Drosophila melanogaster: one gene and its partners. The protein of the gene in region 3 purifies or fractionates together with the protein of the main gene of each other region. This does not show direct contact. Each region holds a gene or a part of one and is shown on either strand. Other genes may lie near its edges. The genes, in order: Cpr62Bc, hmw, Vajk2 and CG4962.

Region 1 (6,200 bases), on a different chromosome or scaffold from region 3:
ACATTACTTGCCATTAGAAATTCCGGGCTTGTTGTACTTAAAACCTCTTATATTTTCTCGCAGTATAGTCTAGGTAAATACTCTCTAACACCGCGAGTCACAGTGACTATTCACGTCGTGCACCCGCAGCTAAAAAAAATATGGCCAGCTCGGCGGCTCTCCACTCGTTTGGACACCACTCAAGTGGCCAGAGACTCGGATCTCGGATCTTGGTGCGCTGACATGACGAGCCAAGATCGGGCCAAGATTATTGCAACTGCTGCTGGCCACTTGGGCGTTGCGATTCTATGATTCTGCGAATCCGGCTGCCGACTGCAAAATGGGTGGTCTCTGGAACTCCGCGCCTGACTCATAACTGTTAAGATATATATTTGCGCCCATGTGGAGCGGATCTGTTGCACGTACTCAAATCTGAGTTTCAGCGGAAGGGGTGAATAATTAAATCGAAAAGGAAACGCGCAATGTGGCCAAAGAGTTTCGCATTCACGAATTCGTAATTGTCATTGTTGGGCTTAGTCTAGTCTAGTCTACTATAGTATAGTCTGTTTAAACTGGACTTGGTTCTGCCGCGGTGAGTGGCATATGATTGTTCAAGGAATTTCCACACATTTAACTAACGGGTTGGTGAATACCTAGGAAACGAAACCGCGTATCAAGGAAGTTGGTGGAACTGGTTTTGCATTGCATTGTTATATTAGAAGTTGTAATAAAATTTTGAGTGGCTTGAAACGATTGTTTATCAGGGATATTCTATCGACACAATGCGAACCACTGATCAGCCCTACCTCTTCCCAAATATGGCTCAATCTTCCATCAAAAGGCAATCAATTACAGCATTTTTGCTCGAACCCAATCGAAACCTAGTTTTTCAAAGTCTCGACTGCAAAAATTCAATTAATTGGCCACGACGGTGCGTCATTTTCCGCAAACAAAGGACGCAATCAGATCGTGCTCTAATTCAGGCAAACTCAAAGATGCAGTTTGAATATTTAGAGGGGTATATCATAAAGGGGGGATGGGAAACTTTAAAGAAATATAATTAAATTCTAAGGAAGCTCATTGTCTACTTACTTACCAACTAACCATTCCCAACTGCCCATTCTACGAAAATCAACATGTGTAAAGTAATCTGGACTAACTTTCGGATAAGTAAACCCTCTTTTTTAACTACGCCCCTGCTGAGATTAAAACTGTTAGTGATCCGTTACACGTCGTTTGCTGCTGTGTCGTGCTAACCTTGAGATGATTACTTCAATTTGTAGTACGCGATGGCCAGCCTGGCATAAATGGTGGCTCAGAGGGGGGGGGGGGGGGGGGGGCACCAAAGGGGGAATGTCAGAGCCGAGCTACTAATTCGAGACAATTTATTAAATGAGTCGAAGCAGGGCAAGTACGTAGCATAAGCCTGGCGCAAATATGCCGTAAAACAAAGCAAGGCAGCCCTCAAAAATATGACAAAACCAAACGCTTTTGCTTTTTTACTGTTCGTAGTTTTGGCCTGGTAATGAGTTGGGGCTGAACTGGCGTCTATTTTGGCCATAATGATGTGGCGCCACGCTGCGCCCCACTTCAAAGGCGTTTCTACAGCGTCTTCGGGTGGTGGCCTCCCCATAGCACACCCCTCTTGTCTTTCCCAGATGGGTTTAATAAGCAAAACGGCCTACATGGCAATTAAAAAAGTGTCAGTAGGAACAACAGTCAGTGCACTGGAAAACAATTGAAGAACAAAGCCACTTGCTGACTTTAGTTAAAAGTATTGCAAAAATATCTCAAGATTTATGGGATTTCATGAGTCAGTAGCTCGTTTTAGTGGAATGATACCACTGATGTTTTACTAAGACTTCGAAATTAATCTACAATACCTCAAACCATTTTTGGCAGTGTACTATCACATTAACCAAAAGATTTGACAGACGACGCCCGCTGCAAGCAAAATAAGGCACAGAAAACGTAGAACATAGAAAACTTCGACTTGAAGCCCACGAAACAGACGAGCGAACAAATTGCAACATGCAACAGAAAAAAACCATGGGGATTTTCAGGAGGGGGCTGCAACACCGCCGCCCACCGAAATGCAATTTTAACTTATTTCAGCCATTGTCTTTTTATTTCATAAATATTTGTGTTTACGGCTAATTTTATTCGTGCGCGAAGATTGTTTTTGCTAGGTAGTTTAGAGCTTGCAAAGGCCATTTCAATTAAATCGTGATGGGAGATGGTAATATATAGATAGCCAACTTTTTTCCGATCATGATTTCATAATTAATACGCCTTAATAATGGCCAATTTGATATGTTAATACGAGTATTGATTTCAGCAGATAGAACTCGCATTAAGTGAGGTTTTCCCTTCCATTTCACAATTATTTCGACTTCGATTTGCATACATCGCCGGTTATCTCAGAAATCAGACAATTTCCAAAGACAAACCACAGCCAGCCAACAGTCGCTCCACATCTGAACTGAACTTCACTCTCGTTTTTTTTCGCTGAAAAGCATTAAATAATTGTGAATTGTTGGTGGGGAAGGGGGGGCGTTGCAGGGGCGTTGTGGGGGCCTCAACTTCTTGGGCTTCGCTCCGCAAAGCTCGGCTTTGGCTGGTATTTCATTGTAGTTTTGTTTTTGCCCCTGCTGACCGACTGGCATTCGGCTTTTTGTGACTCGGCTCGGTTTGGGCCGCTCGGGCGTTGTCTTGTATATAAAAGCGGCTTCCTTCTTGGTTCTAGTTATCAGTTGAATCCAGCTCAACGTACAGCACACACTCGCGTCTGCAAGAAACAAAATCCCAAAAATCCAAACAATGGCATTCTTCAAAGTGAGTGAACAGGACAGCCCTGTGACAGCCAAAAGTGCCCTGTGATCCAATCGAAATAGCAAACTAATAAAACAAACCCCTATCCCCTGTGATCTAGTCCCTCATCTGCCTGGCCGTCCTGAGCGCCGCCTCCGCCGGAGTCCTCCACGGACATGGTGCTGGTCTCTACGCCGCCGCCCCGGCCATCTATGCCGGCCATGGTCACCACGACGAGGGAATCGATTACCATGTAAGTGGGCAAGATAACCCAAAAAGGATTAACTTTCAAAGTAGCGCATATGAGGATTACTAACTCTTAAAGAAAATCAATGTCCTACTATTGGAATCCATTTGACTTGTTTAAAACATACATTTTGAAAAGCTTCCTCTTAATTGAAAATGTGCATCATGAGTTTATTGCTCTTTTAAAATCAAACGACTACAATACCATCCAGAGCTAAGAAATGCATGCATCTTGACTCATAAAAATTACTTATACGACACGTAATCCCTCCCGCAAACATTACTCATACGACCTGTAAGCCCGAAAAAGTTATACAGCCTACCGGCTGTTCATGCAATCATAAAATTATACTTAATATGCCCTAAAACTGACACCATCAGTCCGCACAACCTCTCACCCACTCCTCTGTGGATGCTGGTGGCCCAGGGTCACTGTGGCATTTGCCATTTAGCCATTTTCCCACGCTAGCTTCATTAGCATGGCCAGCTGCTTCGAGTGGCGTGTGGCATGCACATAAAATTAGCACCCAATCCTAGCAGGCCCGTACTCTTCTCATGGAATCTTTACGCCAATCCGCAGGCCTACCCCAAGTACCACTACAACTACGGAGTGGCTGACTCTCACACCGGAGACGTGAAGTCGCAGCACGAAGTGCGTGATGGTGATGTCGTCAAGGGATCCTACTCTCTGGTGGAGCCCGATGGTTCGGTGCGCACCGTGGAGTACACCGCCGATGACCACAATGGCTTCAACGCCGTCGTCCACAAGACCGGCCCCACTGTGCACCACGCCGCTCCCGCTGTGGTTGCCCACGCCGCTCCCGCCGTGGTCCATGCCGCTCCGGCCTATGCCCCAGCCATTGCCCACCATGTGGCCGCCGCTCCCGCCGTGCCCTACGCCGGATCCCTGGCGCATCAGGTGCCCGCCTACGGATACGCCACCCACAACGCTCACGCGCATGTGGCCCACTACTAAGGAAGTGGAGCAGTCCGCTGGATGCACCACCTGAAGCACCACCTGCACCGCTAACACCACTCTTCTGTAATTTATTAAGCACGTTGACGACCTCACAAAACGGCTGATCGATCCACTGACGAAGCCTGCTAAAATACTCAGTACCACAGTCATGTCCATCATGTCCTGCCGTGGATTCCCCGGACTTTCCCGGCAGCCTCTGTCTCCCTCACACACACACACACACATTGCCGTCTCTGTCTCAGCTTTCGCGCAATTCTCTCTTTTGTTTGTTAATCAACCTTCTCTTTAATTGTAAATAATGAAAACATCGAGTGAGGAACAAACGCCCATCCTGCCACACGCCCACGAAGAAGAACCAACCTGAAAAGATGAAGAAAAACGAACAAAATGTAAAAAAAAATAATAAAAAAAAACACATGTATTATAATAATTTTGTGTATACTATAAGTTTGAAGCTGAAACGGCTGACAATGCTATAAATACAAAATGTAGAGAATTATAAAAATTCAAATATTTCGTTTTTTTACTGCACAGAAAGGAACTGAAAACATAGATTGATCTTTAATTTGATTATTCTGTTTTATCTTACAATTAATTAGTTGATTGGCATTTCTGATCAGAACACATTCACTTTCAAATTGATTCCAAGTATGGGTAATTATGGTTTCCATTAGTTATGAATGTTATGGAAATTGATGGGTAGAGAGCACTTCGTCGAGATCACGCCACTTGATTGACAATAATCGATCTGGCTAATTTGTGGGCGTGGAGTGAAAAAGGTGAAGGTAATCATCGGCGGTTGATTATCATTTGATCCGCCAATAACCAGTTGGTGTTTATTAACTGATTATTTATCTGCAGAAGAACTATGCCATCTGTACTCTGGCAAGACGTGCGCTTTCATAATAAGATTCGCATCAGCATTCATATGAAACTTGAAGCTTAAATATAAAACTATATATAGCCTTATGTATCTGGAATTTGCATTCATAGAGTTTTCTTAATTTCCGATTTAAGGATATTTCACCAGATGCACTACTCGAACTCATTAAATGGGCTTTCTTTAATATTATTTTGTAGAAAACTTTTGGGCATTGATTTCTTAAACAACTTTAAACTACGATTTCAAATTGATTTTTGAAGGCTTAGAAAAAAATAGATAGATGATGTGTGCTTTTTGGCTGCTATAAACAAGACTTACAGTCATAGACTACTTTCAAGCTTAATAAAAACAATATGAATGCTACAAGCAACTATGCCACTGTATTTTTTATTGAAAAGCCATTTTAAACATTTATTAAACTTTATTATTACTATTATTTTACTACTTATATTATTAGTTATTAAATTAATTATTTAGTTAGTACCTTATAGATATGTAGAATTTTTTAATAAGGGTTTCATACTAAGCATACCTTTTTATTGGCTTACAAATATACAACAATTTCCCTAGAAATGTATCCTTTCCAATAGACACTTTTTTAATAACACATAACAAGGTCGATTGATGCCACCGCATTTTGCCTATCCACTTACGCACTTTTACTTTTGTGGCCGTTGGAAGCCACCGCAGAAGGGTGCCCACGGTGGAGTTGCCCCCCAGTGCGGTCACAAGTTCGGGGGCATCTCTCCAGCGAAGACAATAAACAAATAAAGCATAACTTAAAACATTTAAGTCACAAGAGATGAGTGTGTGGAGGCTTCCGCATGCAACAAATCTTCGCATTTCCGTCACATTTAACGTGCGAACAAAACGAAACAAAGCCAAATATTGATCTCTTAATGGGCACAACGTGGTTTTTGGTCTACACTCTAGACAAATGGCCAACGATCAAAACAGAGACGTCGGGAAAATGGTGCAAAAGTGCTGGGTGAGGGAAAAAGAATTTATCAGAGATCAGTGGGCAGCGGAGCGTTTAAATGTGCGCATTTTTCGAGCTCGAAGCAAAACAAAAGGGTGAATATGCCATACGTGGTCTCCATTAATTCACTTGAGTCGAAAAACAAAAAAAAAAATGCCGGACAGGTGCCGCCTTTGGGGGCGGATTACCCGTCTACATAAGGTCAAGATGTAGGAAATGCCGGAAGGAAGTATCCGATTGCTAACTATATCTGACTATCTGAGCTCAAGACATGCAGTACCTCTCCCTTGTGCCAAAATGTGAAATCTCAATGTCGAGTGGAA
Region 2 (6,714 bases), on a different chromosome or scaffold from region 3:
CTCCAGATGTGGTAAGCAACAATTTATATATTAAGTTTATATTGGGACGAAGCATTAACAACTTTATAGAAGACTGAGAAGTTAGCGATGGAGGAAGAAAATCCGCCCAAGCGCCGGAGTTCCAGGCTGACCAGAAGCACTCGTTCAATGGCAGAGGATGGGTCTCCATCACCGGAGAAGGAAAAGCCCGAAAAGCTTCCCTTTATTAAATACAAGGGTGCTATAAAGTATTTCACGGAGAGCCAGGATATTGCGGCATCTGCTGACGATGTTTTGTAAGTTAACTCTATAACTTATTCCTGCTTGTTAATAATGTGCATTAAAAATCAAAACTTAGGCAATGGGTGGAAAAACAAAAAGATGAGGTAGTGCCCATGGCCTTCGACATGGAGTGGCCCTTCTCTTTCCAAACAGGACCTGGCAAGTCTGCCGTCATCCAGATATGCGTGGATGAAAAGTGCTGCTACATATACCAGCTGACTAATGTGAAGAAACTGCCTGCGGCCCTGGTGGCCCTTATCAATCATCCCAAAGTGCGATTGCATGGCGTGAACATAAAGAAGTTAGTTATACAAAGGAAAAATCCATTTGGATAAATAAAATCTGTTATTTTCCAGCGATTTCCGAAAGCTGGCACGTGATTTCCCCGAGGTTACAGCCGAACCACTGATAGAGAAATGCGTGGACTTGGGTCTTTGGTGCAATGAGGTCTGTGAGACCGGCGGGCGCTGGAGCTTGGAGCGATTAACCAACTTTATAGCCAAGAAGGCCATGGACAAAAGCAAGAAGGTGCGCATGAGCAAGTGGCATGTCATTCCGCTGGACGAGAATCAACTAATGTACGCCGCCATCGATGTCTATGTAAGTTGATATTCACTTTTCCATACAATTTCGTTCAATCTTAGTTTTCTTTTCAGATTGGTCAGGTTATCTATCGTGAATTGGAACGCCGCGAGAAGGTCAAGATTAAAAATGAAGAAGAGTTCAAGGAAAAGAACGGAGATGCTGCCTTTAAAGCAATGAAAGCATTGGGAGAGACATTTCTGACCAAGATCAACGAGGTGACTCTGTAAGCTTTTCTTTGAAGTTTCAGATATGCCATCTAATTCCTTTTACCTGTTTAAATATTTTCGCCTTCTTTCATTTATTTTCGGGAGTTTTTCTTAGTTTAATTTGTTACCAACGTGCTGCAAAATAATTGTTAAATTTAATATTGCTATCCAATTCGATTATTGATTACGATAACATTTATAGAATTGTTTATACCTAAATGTACAAATTATAAACACATTTTGATGCATTGACTTTGATCGGAACGAAATTTTACTAGTACTATACATTTTTGCATGAATTCTAGTTGGTTTATAAATTCCCTTAAAATTATATTAAGATTATACAGCTTTTTACACTTTTCAACTTGCAATAAATTTTAATTTTGTAAATTCGCATAAACACTTTTAATTACTTAATGAACACAGTTGGAGCTGCCTGTGGAGGCGTCACTTGAATTGCGGTCGCCGTGTGCCGATGGCCTCCAGTTTCCGCTTGAGCAGATCGTTGTCCAGGTCGATCTGGCGCTGATTCTTCTTCCGGTTCACAGCTGCGCTGGACAGTCGTGGCGCTGGAGGTGTCTGTCGCTGTATGACATTGTTAAGGAAGAGGTTTAATATTGGACATAAGTTCTATATTATGTACTCACCTTCTCGGGCCCATTGATCTTTATGCTACTGGTGCTAGCCTTGATCGTCGCCGTGGGCTTCACAGTCATCATCTTGCGCAAAAGAATCTGATTCTGGCGCTCGATCTCGCGCACTTGGGGATTCGTAAAGCTAAAGCTTTTGCGCCCAAGGTTTTTATAGCTATGCAGATGTAATTATATGTAATAGAGTGTATAAGTATTATAAGTTACTTACTTAATCTTATCATTAGAGCAGCGGGAACGCGACACATTGATTTGATACTCGCAACCGTCGCTGTTGAAGGTGCTTGGAGTTCCGCTAACGGCTCGCCTGTTTAACTCCATTGGTTTGCGCTGTTGTGGATGCCTCATGAGTCCGTCGCCCTGGCCACATTCGTCTACGAGGTAGCCTTCGCCCAAGCCGAAGTTCGCTGCCAGGTCATGGGGCAACTCGTGACCCATATCCAGTTTCTGCTCGTGTTCAATTAAATCCGATTCCGAGGGACATCTGCATTTGGGTCTGGGTAGCTTGGAAGATCGCGTCGTGAGTAGTGCCTCCTGAGAACGCTCCATCCGCATTGTCAGGGGGGGAATTCCTCCACCCAAGCTCCTAGCACTGGTCATAGTCGTTTCCGTCATCGATGACATCTCGGATTCAGTGTCCCCGCGCCTGTCACTTCGTTGCTGCAACATCTCCGTGGCCATGGCAAGCTGCTCGAAGGCTTGGCTATTTGGCGCTCCTCCATTGATCTGGAATGACTTCATGATCAATTCCGACATTTGGGTCATCTGCTGCTCCAGGTACCGAACCCTCGCCAGATCGGGCTGTGATGTTGGCATGTGTTCTTCTGTTTGATTTTCTTCGGGTTGTTCCGGTTCTTCCGGTTCTTCCTGCTCTTTTAGCGATTGCGAATCCTTAGCAGTAAGTGGTTGCTGTGAGTAGGTGTTTAATTATCTGTAGTGAGATATTATCTAATCCATTATTTACCTGCTTTCGTAATCTAGGATACTTCACCAAGGTGTTGTCTGTTTCGTCTCCTGATGCACACATGGTGACCACACTGTGCTCACTACTGTTATCACTGGCATCGACCAGCGAAACAATGTCCTTCTGGGGCGGTGGTAACTCCTTCTGGACCGTCTTTTTGCACACAGCTGTTACAATTGGTTCGTCCTCCTCCAGCTGCTCCACTTCCACATCCGTGCCCTCCTCCTCGTCGCTGTCGTCGGCGGATTGACGACCCATGGATCCATCGCTTTGGGCGTCGTCTTCGTCTCCTGGAATTTCTTCCTCCTCTTCTTCGATTTCCTCGACTTCAGCATCCTCGTCATCATTCTCGTCCTCATTATCGTTATCATTTTCGCCATCACCTTCGTCATCATCCTCGTCTTCAGCCTCGTCCTCATCCTTAACCCGAGAATGGGCACTGCCTGGCATCAGAGTGCGCACCGAGGGCGTCTCATCCTCCGGAGGCGTGTCCACTCGCAGACTTAGTTGATTTACCTCGGCTACCGTCTTGGTGATGACCACTTGGCTTTCGTCGTCAGAGGAGGAACTCAGGTAGGACACCACTCGGGCGCCCAAATAGCGACGGGCGTGTGGCTGTGGGCGCGATGCAGGTTGCGGATTAAGGCTGAACTCGGAAATAGTCAGCTCCTGGTGAGGAGGACTTACGTTGCCGCTAAGAAACTCTTCTTTCACATCGCTCTCGCTTTGGGTGTCGCTCTCCCCCAACAGAAGAGCGTCACTTGGTTTTGACTCCTCTGGCTCAATATACTCAATCTCTTCTTCCTCCACCTCCACCTCCGACTCCGAGTCCTCCTCGAAGGACTCCTCTCCATAGGACTCTTCATCTGAGTGTTCTCCAGCCCCCGACATCCTGTATGCTTATTCTTCGTCGGTTCTCTGATTAAGTTCCTTTCGTCGTTTGTAGTGTATTTTGTTTTTTTTGGGGTATTAGCGTTGTCACCCGTGTGTTTTTCTTTAGTTTGTACTGAGAACTGCCGAAACTCCTAGGCCTTTCAAACTTTGAATTTTGATTTCAGCTTGAGTAGTTGCTATTTGTTCACTGAGTTTGATTTTGCAGCCATTTCGATGCGCTCTTATGATTGACACCTTTGCGCCCACATTGGGGCAGGTGCTCCTCCGTCTCCGGTCTACCCCAAGTTGGAAAAACTGGGCGCATACCGCGCTTCTTGGCTCAACTTTGACTCCTTGGTTGCATTGCGGTGGCGCTGCCAACCGTCGACTGGAGCTCAGGTGAGCGGAGTCCGCATGCCCACCGCTAACCCCTCGTCGCAGCACCCACCACTTGACACCTGGGAATTTATTTATTCTAGCCAGCGGTTGTCCTGGGCAACAGAGCAGGCGCAGGCGGTTTGTTGTTGGTTGCCTCAGCAGCACTTTGCCGGCTCTTGTTGCGTTAATTATGGAAAACACTGAATAAATTAACCAACAGCACTGGAAATTGATATAAAGTGATATTGAAATAATACAAAAGTTATTCAGCAAGTATATAGCGGATTTACTTTTTAAGCACCGGGTTTAAGCTGCGAACACTAGAACTTTTTGCCGGATATATAATATTGATTTGTGTTTATATATTTCTTTTTTCTCAAGACCATATTACTTTTAACCACTAGCTTAAGAATTACAAGTTTAAAGCCCAATGATTCATATGCTTAATGGATTAAAAGTTAGGAAATTGAAATTGAAGATTGGATTTTCTAACTTGGTCATAAATGTATTATAAAGTGCAATAATAAACTCTGAACAATAAATATTAATCCATACATATATCTATAATAGTTAGTATATCTTGGTGATTTTATTTCTTCTACTTGGTAAACTAAACCATTATTTCCTGCTATGCATTTTCAAATATCTTAAACAATTAAGAATCCCCATTAGCTCCATGTGGCGCCGCCTCTGTGGTCAGGAACTTGCGCTCCAGCACTTTCTCTCCCTCGCCCAGCGACTCCATTCTCGGGGTATTTTCTCTGAGTGACTCTCACGAAATCTGACAGTTGAATGAAAGGCGAAGCGGCGTCGAAATCCGCCGCCTGCCAGTTGCAAATTGTAAATATTGCGAGCGGCGATGGCAGTGCTCCCGAATCGCTGCTTCAAATCCTCTCCAGAGTCATGTGGCCATAAGGCAGTGCGCATGGGCGTTGAGAGTGGCCCCCTCGTGGGTACGATTCCCCCCTGGATTTCCTCGCTTTGAGCGAAGCGGCTGCTGTTGGCCAGCGGGCAATTCATTTGGCCAAGAAGCTTCGTGGCGTGCGGGCGTGTTGCTGAGCCGGAAAATGCGCGCGTAAACCGTGATAGATGTGTGTGAAAATTGTGGCCCGCAACGGGAAAATTGGCAGAGCAAACCAGCAAGTGTGTAGCGTGCCATGTGCCTGTGTTTGTGGAGTGCGTGAATGAAGTGGCACGGTATCGTAGCGGAAATCGTTTGCTGGCCCATCGACTGGCCAGCCAGTGCGGGTAATTAGCGTGGCTAAGAAAAGTCAACAACTAGGCCAACTGAATAACCGGTGACAAGCCCTTCAAGCGTCAACGGCTTTAAAAACGCTTACGAAAAAAATGAGTGGAACGTGCGGCGTATACGCAATATGGGCTTGTAAAATCAAGCGCAAGAGTGGAATAAGCGGCGTATACGCAATCTTGACCAGCTTTTATAACGGCAACATACGGTGTATACGGCATATACGCAAATTCTGCTTCCATTTGCCGTTTTAGTTGTTTAATCAATAGCAAATAGTTGAGGGAAGTTTCACTTTTTGGCAGTCGCTCTTGCCTTTGTCCTTTGCATGCGTTGGTTGATGTTCCTTTGCAACAGTCGCCTAAGTAATTGCAAATTGCGTGCCGCAAGTTTACAAGTTATTTCCGTTTCCTCGCTCGCTCGCTCTCCCTCTCTCTTCCGCGCCCCATCTCTCTTTTCGGGCTGCAGCAATTTGGCTAAGAGCTTGTGACGGCCGCGGGGGTTGCGGGGGCGGCTAGGTGGGTCAAAAGGCGCAGCCACACGACACCAGCAAACAGCCGCAGCCGCCAACCCACAACCCACAATCTGCAACCTACAACCTGAGATCTCCGACTCGAATCCACCAACCCGGCCAAGAGCCGCAGTCAATGCGGCTAGACCAAGAGCTCCAGCTCCAGCTCCGGCATCCGCAAGTCTTGGCACGGATCGGCTTGGCCATGGGTGGATGGAAACACATCCGTTAAGCCGCCAAATACCCTGTAATTGCGAAGAGTTGTGATAGAAATAGCACTGCGTTTAAACAAATAGCACAGCGTTTAAAAATCAACTTAATAGCTATAATAAGTAAACCAGATGTGTTGCGAAATTGTTTTGAATAACAGAAAAAATAGTGAATCGCCGTCGGATTTTTCAATCGATTTACGAACCACATTATTTACTTAGTTTTTTGTTAACTTCTGCAGCCGGATGTTTTTACTCAAACAAATTGTACGACAAAACAATAAAATATAAAACATAAAACTTAAATAGCACGGTCATCACTTTTTGAAGGAAATGAATTTAATAAATTTATTATCATTTTAATTGATGCATCCTACGTGCAACAAACTTTGCTTTTGCTCGCTAAATCATTTTGCGGTTGTGGCTCGAATGTTCAGTGAAAGCGAAACACGATAAAGTTTACCATTTAGCCTTTTTTATAGGCTACTTTTTCAGTTTACTTTAATTGTTAACCAAAATAAACGTGTATATTTGGTATGGTTTTGAGTGGATATTTGTCTTTTTTATAGGCTACTGAATTTTTTATAGATATCTGTTTTTTTAAAGTAAGATATGTGTAAACTTAGATCAGGAAAGACTGAAGTTAATCAAATTTACTTTGATGTAAAGGGGATAACCCGATTTAGACATATTCCCTCGTTTGGCTTTAACATAACTAATGACTTGGCTGAGTTTCAAGGGTATGCAAAACTTCGTTTTCGACTTGGGGCTAACCTTCCACGTTGCCGCTCTATTTTTTTTGCTTATCGATTTTTGACGCTTGACTGACGT
Region 3 (4,540 bases):
CTTCACATTAGTAAAAAAAAAACAAAAACGACTGGAAAAAAAATACTGGCCACAAAAGAAGCGCCACGCCGGGCAAGGCCTAGCATTTATGTAGTTCAACTTTGACTCAGTCTTTGCCACCAATTGTGATGCTGATGATCGTGGTGTTGATCATGGCGATGATGTCTGGCGACCTTCGCCTTCAACTGCACATTACAAAGCCTAATACGCTCGGTTGCCATTATGTCCGCGGCGTTATGTCCACAATTAAATTAATGCACATAAAACCAACATGATTTGGTGCCCGTATCTGTTCTCCTTTGTGCGCGTTTTGCGGTCCACTCATTGTTCACACGTTCCATTTACATGGCCATTGGCGAGTATTTCCTCTGCAGCATTAAAATGTCAAATTACCCACACTGCCACAGCATTCAATCAATGCACCCATATCAAGGCTTAAAACGCCGCTCAGCCTGGCCAAAAAGCTGAGAAAAAAAAACCGAAGCAAACAAGAATACGGAGCCAAACACAAATCCGAGATCAAAAGTTCAGTCACGAAGCCACACAGAATCAAGCAGACTATGCGGCGCATGTTTCTTCTGCAGCCAAGCAATTTACATTCAATATGCAACTGCAACTGCAACTGGATTTGTAACCTGAAATTTTCGGAAATGTGTGGCTAATGTGAATTTAACTTATGGCTGTGGAACACTTTGCCCGTTGTGTCTAATTTGATTATGTGACTGAAGTGCTCGCGGTCAGTTATTTATTAATGGCTCAAGGCTTTGGGGCAAAAATTTCCCAACACTAAGGACTAGTCAAAATTATGCATTAGAAAAGTATTTGTGATCTCTTTTTTAATGTATATATTTTTTAATAATTATGAAGGTTTCGTTACCAGCCAAAAATTACTCATTTATTTATGGTCCATAAATTTTAAACTCTTTATGTTCATTTTTAACTTTGTTAATATTTAATTTTTAATTGAATAATTATTATGTTTATAATTAATGTTCTTTTCGAATGTGTTGATTTCCAAAGATTTATGTAAAATGGTAAGAAATACAAGTAGTTTATTTTATTTGTCGTGTTCATTAATGTAATTTTACCTGGGAAACAAACACTAACACTTCATGTATTTATGTGAGATTTTTACAAAAAATATATTAATAAGATATATTTGTACAAAGGGAAAATGATAATATAATAATGGCTACATATAACAATACTAACTGCGCAAAAAGACGTCGGAGGAAGGGCTCCGATCTAAAATTACATAAACTTTCTAAGGACTTTTAAAGCTGTTTACTAAAATTTTAACAATACAAAATTTATCACTTTTCGAATATTCTAGAAACAAACTCTGAGACTCTAAAACTCTAAAGTCGTTGATTAAAATTCATACGTATATGATTAAAAAAGTCTATATTGTTTGAACTGTACAATTAAGAGCGATTCTCCAAAAGAATTGATTGGATCTCTTTGGTAGATTAAGGCAAAATTAAACGAAATTACCCATTTGCTATGTTTGTTATGTTGGCTATTGGCAAGAAACGATTCTTTCTACTAAACTGTGCCCCCAGTTACTTGGTGTCTGAATACTTTCAGTAGTTCCCAAAGATCGCTACAGTTGGAGCTCGAGTGTTCACAGATACGCACTCATACAGGCGCAGATCACACGGACAACATGGACACTGTCCGTGTGAGGCACCCTCTTTCGAAAAAGCTCGCTTGCTGACGCATTTCCTTTGGGCCACGGGCTCACACGGACAGTTGGCCAAGAGAGAGAGGAGCTGTCGAACGGATGGAGAGCGAGCTTTTTCAACACGGCTGCTGCGATCTCGATTCACGTCGACTGCGCAGCCGCGGCTGAAGACAATCCCGCCACAGCATCGGCCATATAAAAGCTCGCTGCGTCTGTGCGAAATTATTCAGTTAACTGTTGCGGGTTGGTTGAGACATACAAGCCCATCTTGATCGCAAAGTGTTGAGGAGCTAACCTAGTGCAAAATGAAATCCATGGTATGTTCGGTCTGAGCTCAGTGTGTTCTCCTTCGAAGTGCTGCTTAGAATAATTGTGTTTCAAAAACTCGGATTCAGTTAAAGTGACTTGCAAAAGAATATATATATATATATTTATGGAACAATGTAGACATATCGGTGTTGCAATTAAAGTATTTTTAAAAAGGTTTTTGCACGACTTCATCAGCTCTTTCAAAAGCAAGGATAGAACGGATATTCTAAAATGTCTCTAGATATGTTACTTTTTTGTGGCATTTTGGTTTACCCAAGTAAATATGAACATGGTTTTAAGAAAGGATTTTTAGAGAGAAAACTAATTGAAATATTTAATTTTTCCATTACCAGTTCTACATTTAAATCTTATTGAAAGAAATCACATTTCATAATTACTAAAATCGAAAAGTGTTAAGGATCATTTTAACCCGAAAAGGATAGGCAGTCCTAGAATATGTTTTTAGCATTTAAAAAAGAAAACAAAAATGTAGATTCGTATTAAAAAGCTTTGAACGCGAAACTACAAAGAGTTGAATTTGCCTTCTTCCAATTTGTATTTTAACCGAATTATTGCGAAAATATCAAGCCACATTAAGTATACGCCGCATGCCCAATATGTCAGGGGGCCTAGGCCACAATTGAACTTGGCTGGTTGCCCAGCCAACTTTCCACCCAACATTGCATAATTGTCATATTCCAAATTATGGAGTAATCGGGCGGAGGTGGAGCCGGAAGCGGCTGCAGTTGCATAACCGCCCGACCAAGCCAATTGGGTTTCTATCGAATTTAACCCACTTGTCATTGCAGCTCATTTTCGGCCTTGTGGCGATGTGCGTGCTGGTGGCCAACGCCAGTGAGGAGGCACCCAAGAAGGCCGTCGAGACCGCCGAGCCCGCCGAGAAGAAGCAGGAGAAGCGCGGCATTGGCCACGGTCTGGGCTACGGATACGGACCATCGGCGGGAGGCGCCATTCTGGGATCCGGCATCGGTGTTGGAGTTCCAGTGGCTCCCGCTGTCGCTGAGCTGCCCACCCAGGTGCACACCAACACCGTGGTGAGGACCGTGCAGGTGCCCTACCAGGTGGAGCGTCACGTTCCCTACCCCGTCGAGAAGACCGTCACCTATCCCGTTAAGGTGCCCGTGCCCCAGCCCTACCCCGTGGAGAAGATCGTCCATGTGCCCGTCAAGCAGATCGTGAAGGTGCCCGTCGAGGTGCCCCAGCCCTACCCCGTCGAGAAGGTGATCCGTGTGCCCGTGAAGATCCCAGTTGATCGTCCCTACACCGTCCATGTCGACAAGCCATACCCCGTGCCCGTGGAGAAGCCCGTGCCATACACCGTCGAGAAGCGTGTGATCCACAAGGTGCCCGTCCATGTGGAGCGTCCAGTGCCCTACAAGGTGGCCGTGCCCGTGCCTGTCCACGTTGAGAGCCACGTCAAGCCCGCCGTGGCCGTCACCCACACCGTTGCCGCTGCTCCTGCCATCATCAGCCACGGCTACTCCGGACACGGAATCTCCGGATACGGAATTTCCGGACACGGAATCTCCTCCTACGGCAGCTCCTCCTACGGCGGCTCCGCCCACGGTGGCTACCTCCACAAAAAGTAGATGAAATCGCAATGCTGTCGAGGGCCAAGCGAGAAGTGAAGTCGGGTGAAGGCGAGCGAACCAACCAACAAGTCGAAAGTATCCAACAGACATTAAGAATCAAGCACCCCTCCCTCTCTTTCCACGCCCAGCAACCGCCAACGTACGACTTACAAATTTAGTTTTAGTTTGTGATACCAACCGAAATTCTGGAAGGATCGGAACCAGGAGAAAATCACACAACTGACGCAATCCATTATAGAAAGCTTGCCAAAACCCATCCGGGGCGTTTGAAAAGTGCCTGTCTCCTGGCATCCAAATCCATCGAGTGTACAGTTCTTTTGTAGACAATCACAGAGAAATAACTGCTGACGAGTTGCTCCTTCGACTTTTTCACGTAAATTTCTTTTCTATGAAATATTTGTACATATTTAAATAATGTAAATAAAACGAAAATTAAAAAAAAAAAACTTAAGACTTGTACTTTCAGAAATACTGGGCTTTCCATTAAAAAAAAAAAAGATAGAAGTTCGATAGGATATTTTTAAGGTATATAGGGTATTTTCACTTAATGAGCCTTTTGTTTAAGCTGAAAGCTTAATTTGTATTGCTGCATTGCTATTTTGGAATAAATACATTTTTTTACAGAAGTTATATATCTGTCAAGTTAAAACGTAGCCATAAAGGACTACATATTATATATTTACATATTATATATTTATATATAATATATATATATATTATATATTTATGGATATTTATTAATTTTTATGAGGGGGTGTGGAGTTACTCTTAAGTGGATTAATACAGCTTATTTTAGTCAAAGGATATTCCCACAACTATGCAATGATTTATTTATTTATTATAAATTTTGGGAATTATTCTGAATTGCATTACAGTGCGTCAAGTAATTGTTCGCAAACAATGTTTTTAAAACTGTAAATTTAGTGAGTAGGCC
Region 4 (5,047 bases), on a different chromosome or scaffold from region 3:
GCTAACCAGATATACTCTACTCATTGGAAGGGGGAAACCGAGAATTAAGCATGTAAGACTTTCCACTCAATCTGCAGGGCGGCAGGTAAACAACAGGTGTGTTGCATTTGCGAGGTTGTGGGAATCTCTTGCGAGAGCTGCAATTGTGCCATGAGAGCACCTGCCACAAAATGCATCCACTTAGTGTCAACCGACGAGCTCGAATGAATATTCAATGGCCTGGGAGATGTAGGAAGCAGAAGTTGTGGCCCACCTTTTGTCTGCAAATAATCGAAGGTCGTTTGCCGAATTTTCGCTTGACTAGCTAACGGTATTGCTGTCTTTATAAGCTATAAGCCCATAACTACGACATGGTTTATGAACAGGGGGACATAATTTATGCCGAGCTGAACTGAGACAAATTAAACCTATAGCTGGGCACAATTGAGTTGTATGGCTGTCAAGGTCGAAGAGCTGCCAACAATGGCCTATTGTTATGGGCGATATGAATTATATTTAGCAACCCCACCCATCATCTTATGATTTTCACTCGGCGAGATAACATTTATTAAGTAAAATCGTAAATTGATTTCCATTACGCCGCCGGCAAAGCGCAATACACGACTTTTCAATTTTCGCATGAATTATAGTTGGTATTTTCGGTCCAGGATCAGCTGGCCGGCGTTAAAAAGGTAATTAAGTGACTCAATTCACTTTTCAGCAGCTGTTGATGTGCTCCCATTTTTCATTTGCGAAACTGGGCGAAAAGCATTTAGCTGCGACAGTTGGCCGGCCATTAATAAAAAGATATTTCAACGCACTTTTCACTGGTCAACCTGTTGACAGGCGCACGCGTTTGTCGCTTGAGTCTTTCGTTTCCCCGCAATGATAATTGTTAGAGGAGGGGGGGGGGGTATAGTGAGCAGGTGGGCCGGGCAAGGCGTTGCAATAAAACAATTTTTTTTGGTATTTGGTTTTTTCCTTGCAAGTTTCAAAACACCCGACGGGAGTCGATATGAATCGAGCAAGTTGCTCAAGTAAAATTAATTTGAAGTGCAATTGAATGCTGAATGGCGATCGGATGGTTGGGGTAAGTTCGCAGTTGAAAATCATTGAACAAGCAGTTTTTTGTGAAATGCTCGCATCTACGAACTAGCAATACTATCTGGAATCCTTATAAATGCGAATAAAACTGATCACTTCACGCTCAACTAAACTAAATTGAAAATAATTCCACACTTCATAAATAGACATTTGTCCCCTTAACAATTAGTTTTGAGTTAAGTGGCTTACATTGCGAAATGTGTGTGTGTTAAAACGGCAAATTAAAATATTTCCACATTACTCTGAAAATTCATATTGCTTCCAAAACGTTAGGTATCGTAAAGATTTCATTGAATTGTGTGTAGTAAGGCATATTTGGATATGGATCTTAAATATCCATCCGTCATAATTTCAAGTGAATATTTTTAAACTAACATATATAAGCAACCAGTAAATGAAATAAGCCATCATATTCGTTTAAAGAGTCATTTATCGTTTATTTACAAAATGTTATGAAGCCACAATGCATGGAGTTGCACCATAATAACAAAATCAACGAAACTTGATCCTTCATCAATCTCTCTCGCTCTCGCCGCCTCCCGTTAGTTGTCCTTAGTTCTCTAGTTGTCTCTGTCTCCAAGTGGGTGTCTGGGTTTTTGAGGGATTTTGTACACAATTTGTATTTCCGCTTCTGACTACGAAATGCAAATTCAACACTTTGACGGCAGCAAAATGCGAATTATCCGCTTAATGTTCTCACTTCAATCGGGGTCGTCAACGGGGGGCTGGTATCCTTTCCGACATCCAGATCCTTAGTGCAGGTAGGCTCCGTGTCCGTAGCCGGCGTATCCCAGACCGTAGCTACCGTAGCCGCCATAGGATCCATGGTAGGTGGAGGTGGAGTGCAGAGCAGGCACGGCATGGACCAGAGGAGCGGCATGGACCACTGGAATGGCCTTGGTGGCCACCTTGTAGGTGTTGGCATAGGAGGTGGCCACCGGGTGGGCGACAATGGGAGCGGCGTAGCTCTTGATGATCGGGGCGTGCGAGATCACAGCCGGAGCGGCATAAGCCGGAGCCAAGGCGGCGCCGTATCCCAGTCCATATCCATGGCTGTAGGGCGAGATTACTCCGGCATTGGCCACGGCGCACAGGGCAGAGATGAGGGCAATCTGCGGAAAAGAAACTTCTATGTTAACTTCATACGAGCGGTAATCCTTTAATCCTGATCTTACCAGTTTGAACATTTTGCTGGTTTTGTGTTGTTTGGACTTCTTGACCGAAGAGCTGAATGTGTTATGCTTAGACGTCTCAAGTAGCCCTGTTATTTATACCCGCAACATGAGAAATATTCTGACAAATCTTGGCCCAAAGAGCGGCGGAGAGGGAGAGCCAACACGCCCCTTTCGACGGCCGAGAGCCGAAGCTTTGTGCATTTGCCGACCAGCAGATCGCGAAAGAGATCAGTCACGCGGCGGCTTTGGCTTGAGCCACTGAGCCACCGCCAATTTTAGCCACCGAATCCCCAAGATTTTCATGGAGAACCACCACGAGCACTTAATTCAATTTGTATTTTTTTCGTCAGCTATTGTCGGCGACTTTTGCTCTAACGGAAACTTTTATATTTCCATTCATTTCGTCGTGGAAATGAACAATTGTCTTCTGGGGGTTTCCAGCTGAGAAAATTCTACGGCTAAATCTGGTTTTGCCTATTAGTAATTTTGCAATTATTCCAGTGATCTAAATTGGCCATTAAGTAACATTTCCTTTGAAAGAGCACTTAAATTTATCTATGAATATTGTGTTTTATTCAAAACCGTTGAATTCACGTGTTCAAATTATTTAAATATAAGCCTGCAAGCCTATTAAGCATATCTGCCTAAATCCTTTCTAAAACCGAAAACACGCACTTTATTATCAATCAGCTGACTGACTGACTGACAGCTCATTAGAGATATAGAGATCCGTAGGTGTGGAAAATGTTGTTGTCCAGATGCAAATGATCAATCGGAGCTGCCTCTCCACGCAGCAAATAAACTCAAGTGGTCCATGAAAAATTACTCACTTTAATAACTGACAAACACAGAGTGGAGATTGGTGCAGTTGGTCATTTTGGTGGCTGCTGGACGGCAGCTGGTTTGCCTATATTTTGCATGCATTAATATTTAACTGATTTGTTATCGCGCACATGGCGTATGCGTAACTTGGGTGGAAGGAGCGTAGTCAATTGGAAACATAGGTAAATCATATTTGCCGCATTTCGAATGGCCTGCCAGATTTCCTAATAGCCATGCTTAATTCTGAAACAGCTTTGAAATCATATCACGGGATCAGTCAGAACACGAGGCTCGAAAAGAATTGCAAAATGCTTGTTTTGAGCCTTGAATATCGGTGTATTGAATCAAAGAGTTGTATAAAAATCGAAATTCTCTCAGGGCGAACAAAGACCGACTTAAAGTTTATGAGTCATAAATTAATAAACAATTACGATGGCGACAATTCTTTCGACTCAGCGACCCTGGCCATCGTTGCTGATTGGACCCCAAATGGACAATCTGCATATCAACGGGGCTTAGTGCTAGTCGAATCTAAAACTAAGCCGAACCCTTCACCAAAGCCAACACCTCGTGATTTCGACCCGTGGCGTTATGCAAATGCTAACCAAATTGTCGCATAAATCTCAATCGAAGGCGGCTTGATTGACACCAAACAGGATGCCAAATTGCGTGGCTATCTATCGATCCGCAGCTACAAAACCAAATATGCCACCCACTCGGTTGTTTTGGATTTTTGGTTTTATTCGTGCTGGTTCCGATTGCAGCTGACCACCAAACTCTGGTGGCCTGTAATTGCATTTTAATGGCCTACCAATTGCATTCTGTTTGTCTGCTAGCCATTGAGCAACGTCCATCCAATGCATACATTCGATTTTGATTCAGATTCGCATTTCCCAAGCGACGCCCAAAATACTTTGATTGCCAACAAATCATTCAAAAGTCGAAATTAAAAGCCGTCAATTTTCCAACTCAACTCGTGGCTCAACTCAATATTTTTTCCTTTCGTGATTTATGCGATTTTTCTGGGGAAATAGTCGGACCTGAAATTTGTCCGCCCCATTCTGGTTAAGGAAATTTCCCAAGTCGCAAGTCTGGAGTTCGCAAATGGAGCAGAGGTGACTAGTTCGACTTACATGCATTTGATTAGACCAGCTTGTGACCGCAATGAGTTATTATATATTTTTTGTTATAGTTTAACATAATTGTCGGTTGGGTGGAGGCCAATTTGCATAGCTGACTCCCTCCCATCTGCGGATCGCTGGCTGTGACTCGAGTGTGGCCAATTAAGTATTAAGTATACCACATGTTGGACGCCACTCGGTCAAGGCCGTGCTTACCCCAGCCTTTGTCACAATGTCGTGCACATTACAATGTGTACAGCAAAGCCTGACTATTACTCGTTTTATAATGATTAATACCAAGAGGAACAGCGACAACAGCCAAGTGCAAAACTGTAACAATGGCTGGCAAAAATCACATTTGCGTTTACTTAATTACCCTGGAAAACCCTCAGCACTAAGATCAAAGTGAGTCTAAACCTTCATGTATTTATTTTTAATTAGTTTGCAAATATAAATGCATACCAAATCCGTGGAGTAAGCTTTAACTTAAGTTAAATTTTAATATATACGTATACTTAATATTGTAAAAACCGTATTAGATACAACTCCAAAATCAAAGCATCGTATCAGAAATTTTCCAGAATAAATACAGTTTCCTTACATTCCGTAAATCGTTTCGTAGCCCGACTATTACGAGTGGGTATTTTTTAATGAGTCTGAAATATCATTCCGTGATTATGTTTCTAGGGTACCAATCAACGCTTTGTTTTTCCACCTTCAATAAAGCAAATGTCAGGCAGACACCGCTGTGAAAAGCTCTAGAAAAACACACTGGCCAACGTGGAGCAGTGTTTTCATTTATGGAATCAAAGTGAACTAAGGTGGATTAATCCCATCCTCCCCCTT

Evidence for each region.
Region 1: the proteins of Vajk2 (region 3) and Cpr62Bc purify together in Drosophila melanogaster (affinity purification with mass spectrometry, with the first as the bait; one large-scale study listed by BioGRID). This does not show direct contact.
Region 2: the proteins of Vajk2 (region 3) and hmw purify together in Drosophila melanogaster (affinity purification with mass spectrometry, with the first as the bait; one large-scale study listed by BioGRID). This does not show direct contact.
Region 4: the proteins of Vajk2 (region 3) and CG4962 purify together in Drosophila melanogaster (affinity purification with mass spectrometry, with the first as the bait; one large-scale study listed by BioGRID). This does not show direct contact.

The regions. Positions count from the first base shown.
Region 1 is NT_037436.4:1,838,604-1,844,803, reverse strand, and holds Cpr62Bc (cuticular protein 62Bc), read left to right. Parts: upstream 1-2,719; 5' UTR 2,720-2,799; coding exon 2,800-2,814; intron 2,815-2,911; coding exon 2,912-3,043; intron 3,044-3,616; coding exon 3,617-4,012; 3' UTR 4,013-4,523; downstream 4,524-6,200.
Region 2 is NT_033777.3:18,358,969-18,365,682, reverse strand, and holds hmw (hemingway), read right to left. Parts: upstream 3,690-6,714; 5' UTR 3,558-3,689; coding exon 3,354-3,557; intron 3,282-3,353; coding exon 2,667-3,281; intron 2,612-2,666; coding exon 1,914-2,611; intron 1,860-1,913; coding exon 1,700-1,859; intron 1,638-1,699; coding exon 1,500-1,637; 3' UTR 1,406-1,499; downstream 1-1,405. Other genes in the region: WRNexo (WRN exonuclease), read left to right, coding at 1-11, 70-275, 338-562, 618-861, 918-1,073. UniProt on the Drosophila melanogaster protein: Involved in assembly and/or maintenance of motile cilia. Required during spermatogenesis for axoneme elongation. Necessary for optimal function of the chordotonal (hearing) organs.
Region 3 is NT_033779.5:13,932,059-13,936,598, reverse strand, and holds Vajk2 (Vajk2), read left to right. Parts: upstream 1-1,906; 5' UTR 1,907-1,989; coding exon 1,990-2,001; intron 2,002-2,802; coding exon 2,803-3,603; 3' UTR 3,604-4,040; downstream 4,041-4,540.
Region 4 is NT_037436.4:16,293,214-16,298,260, forward strand, and holds CG4962 (uncharacterized protein), read right to left. Parts: upstream 2,335-5,047; 5' UTR 2,271-2,334; coding exon 2,259-2,270; intron 2,196-2,258; coding exon 1,836-2,195; 3' UTR 1,498-1,835; downstream 1-1,497.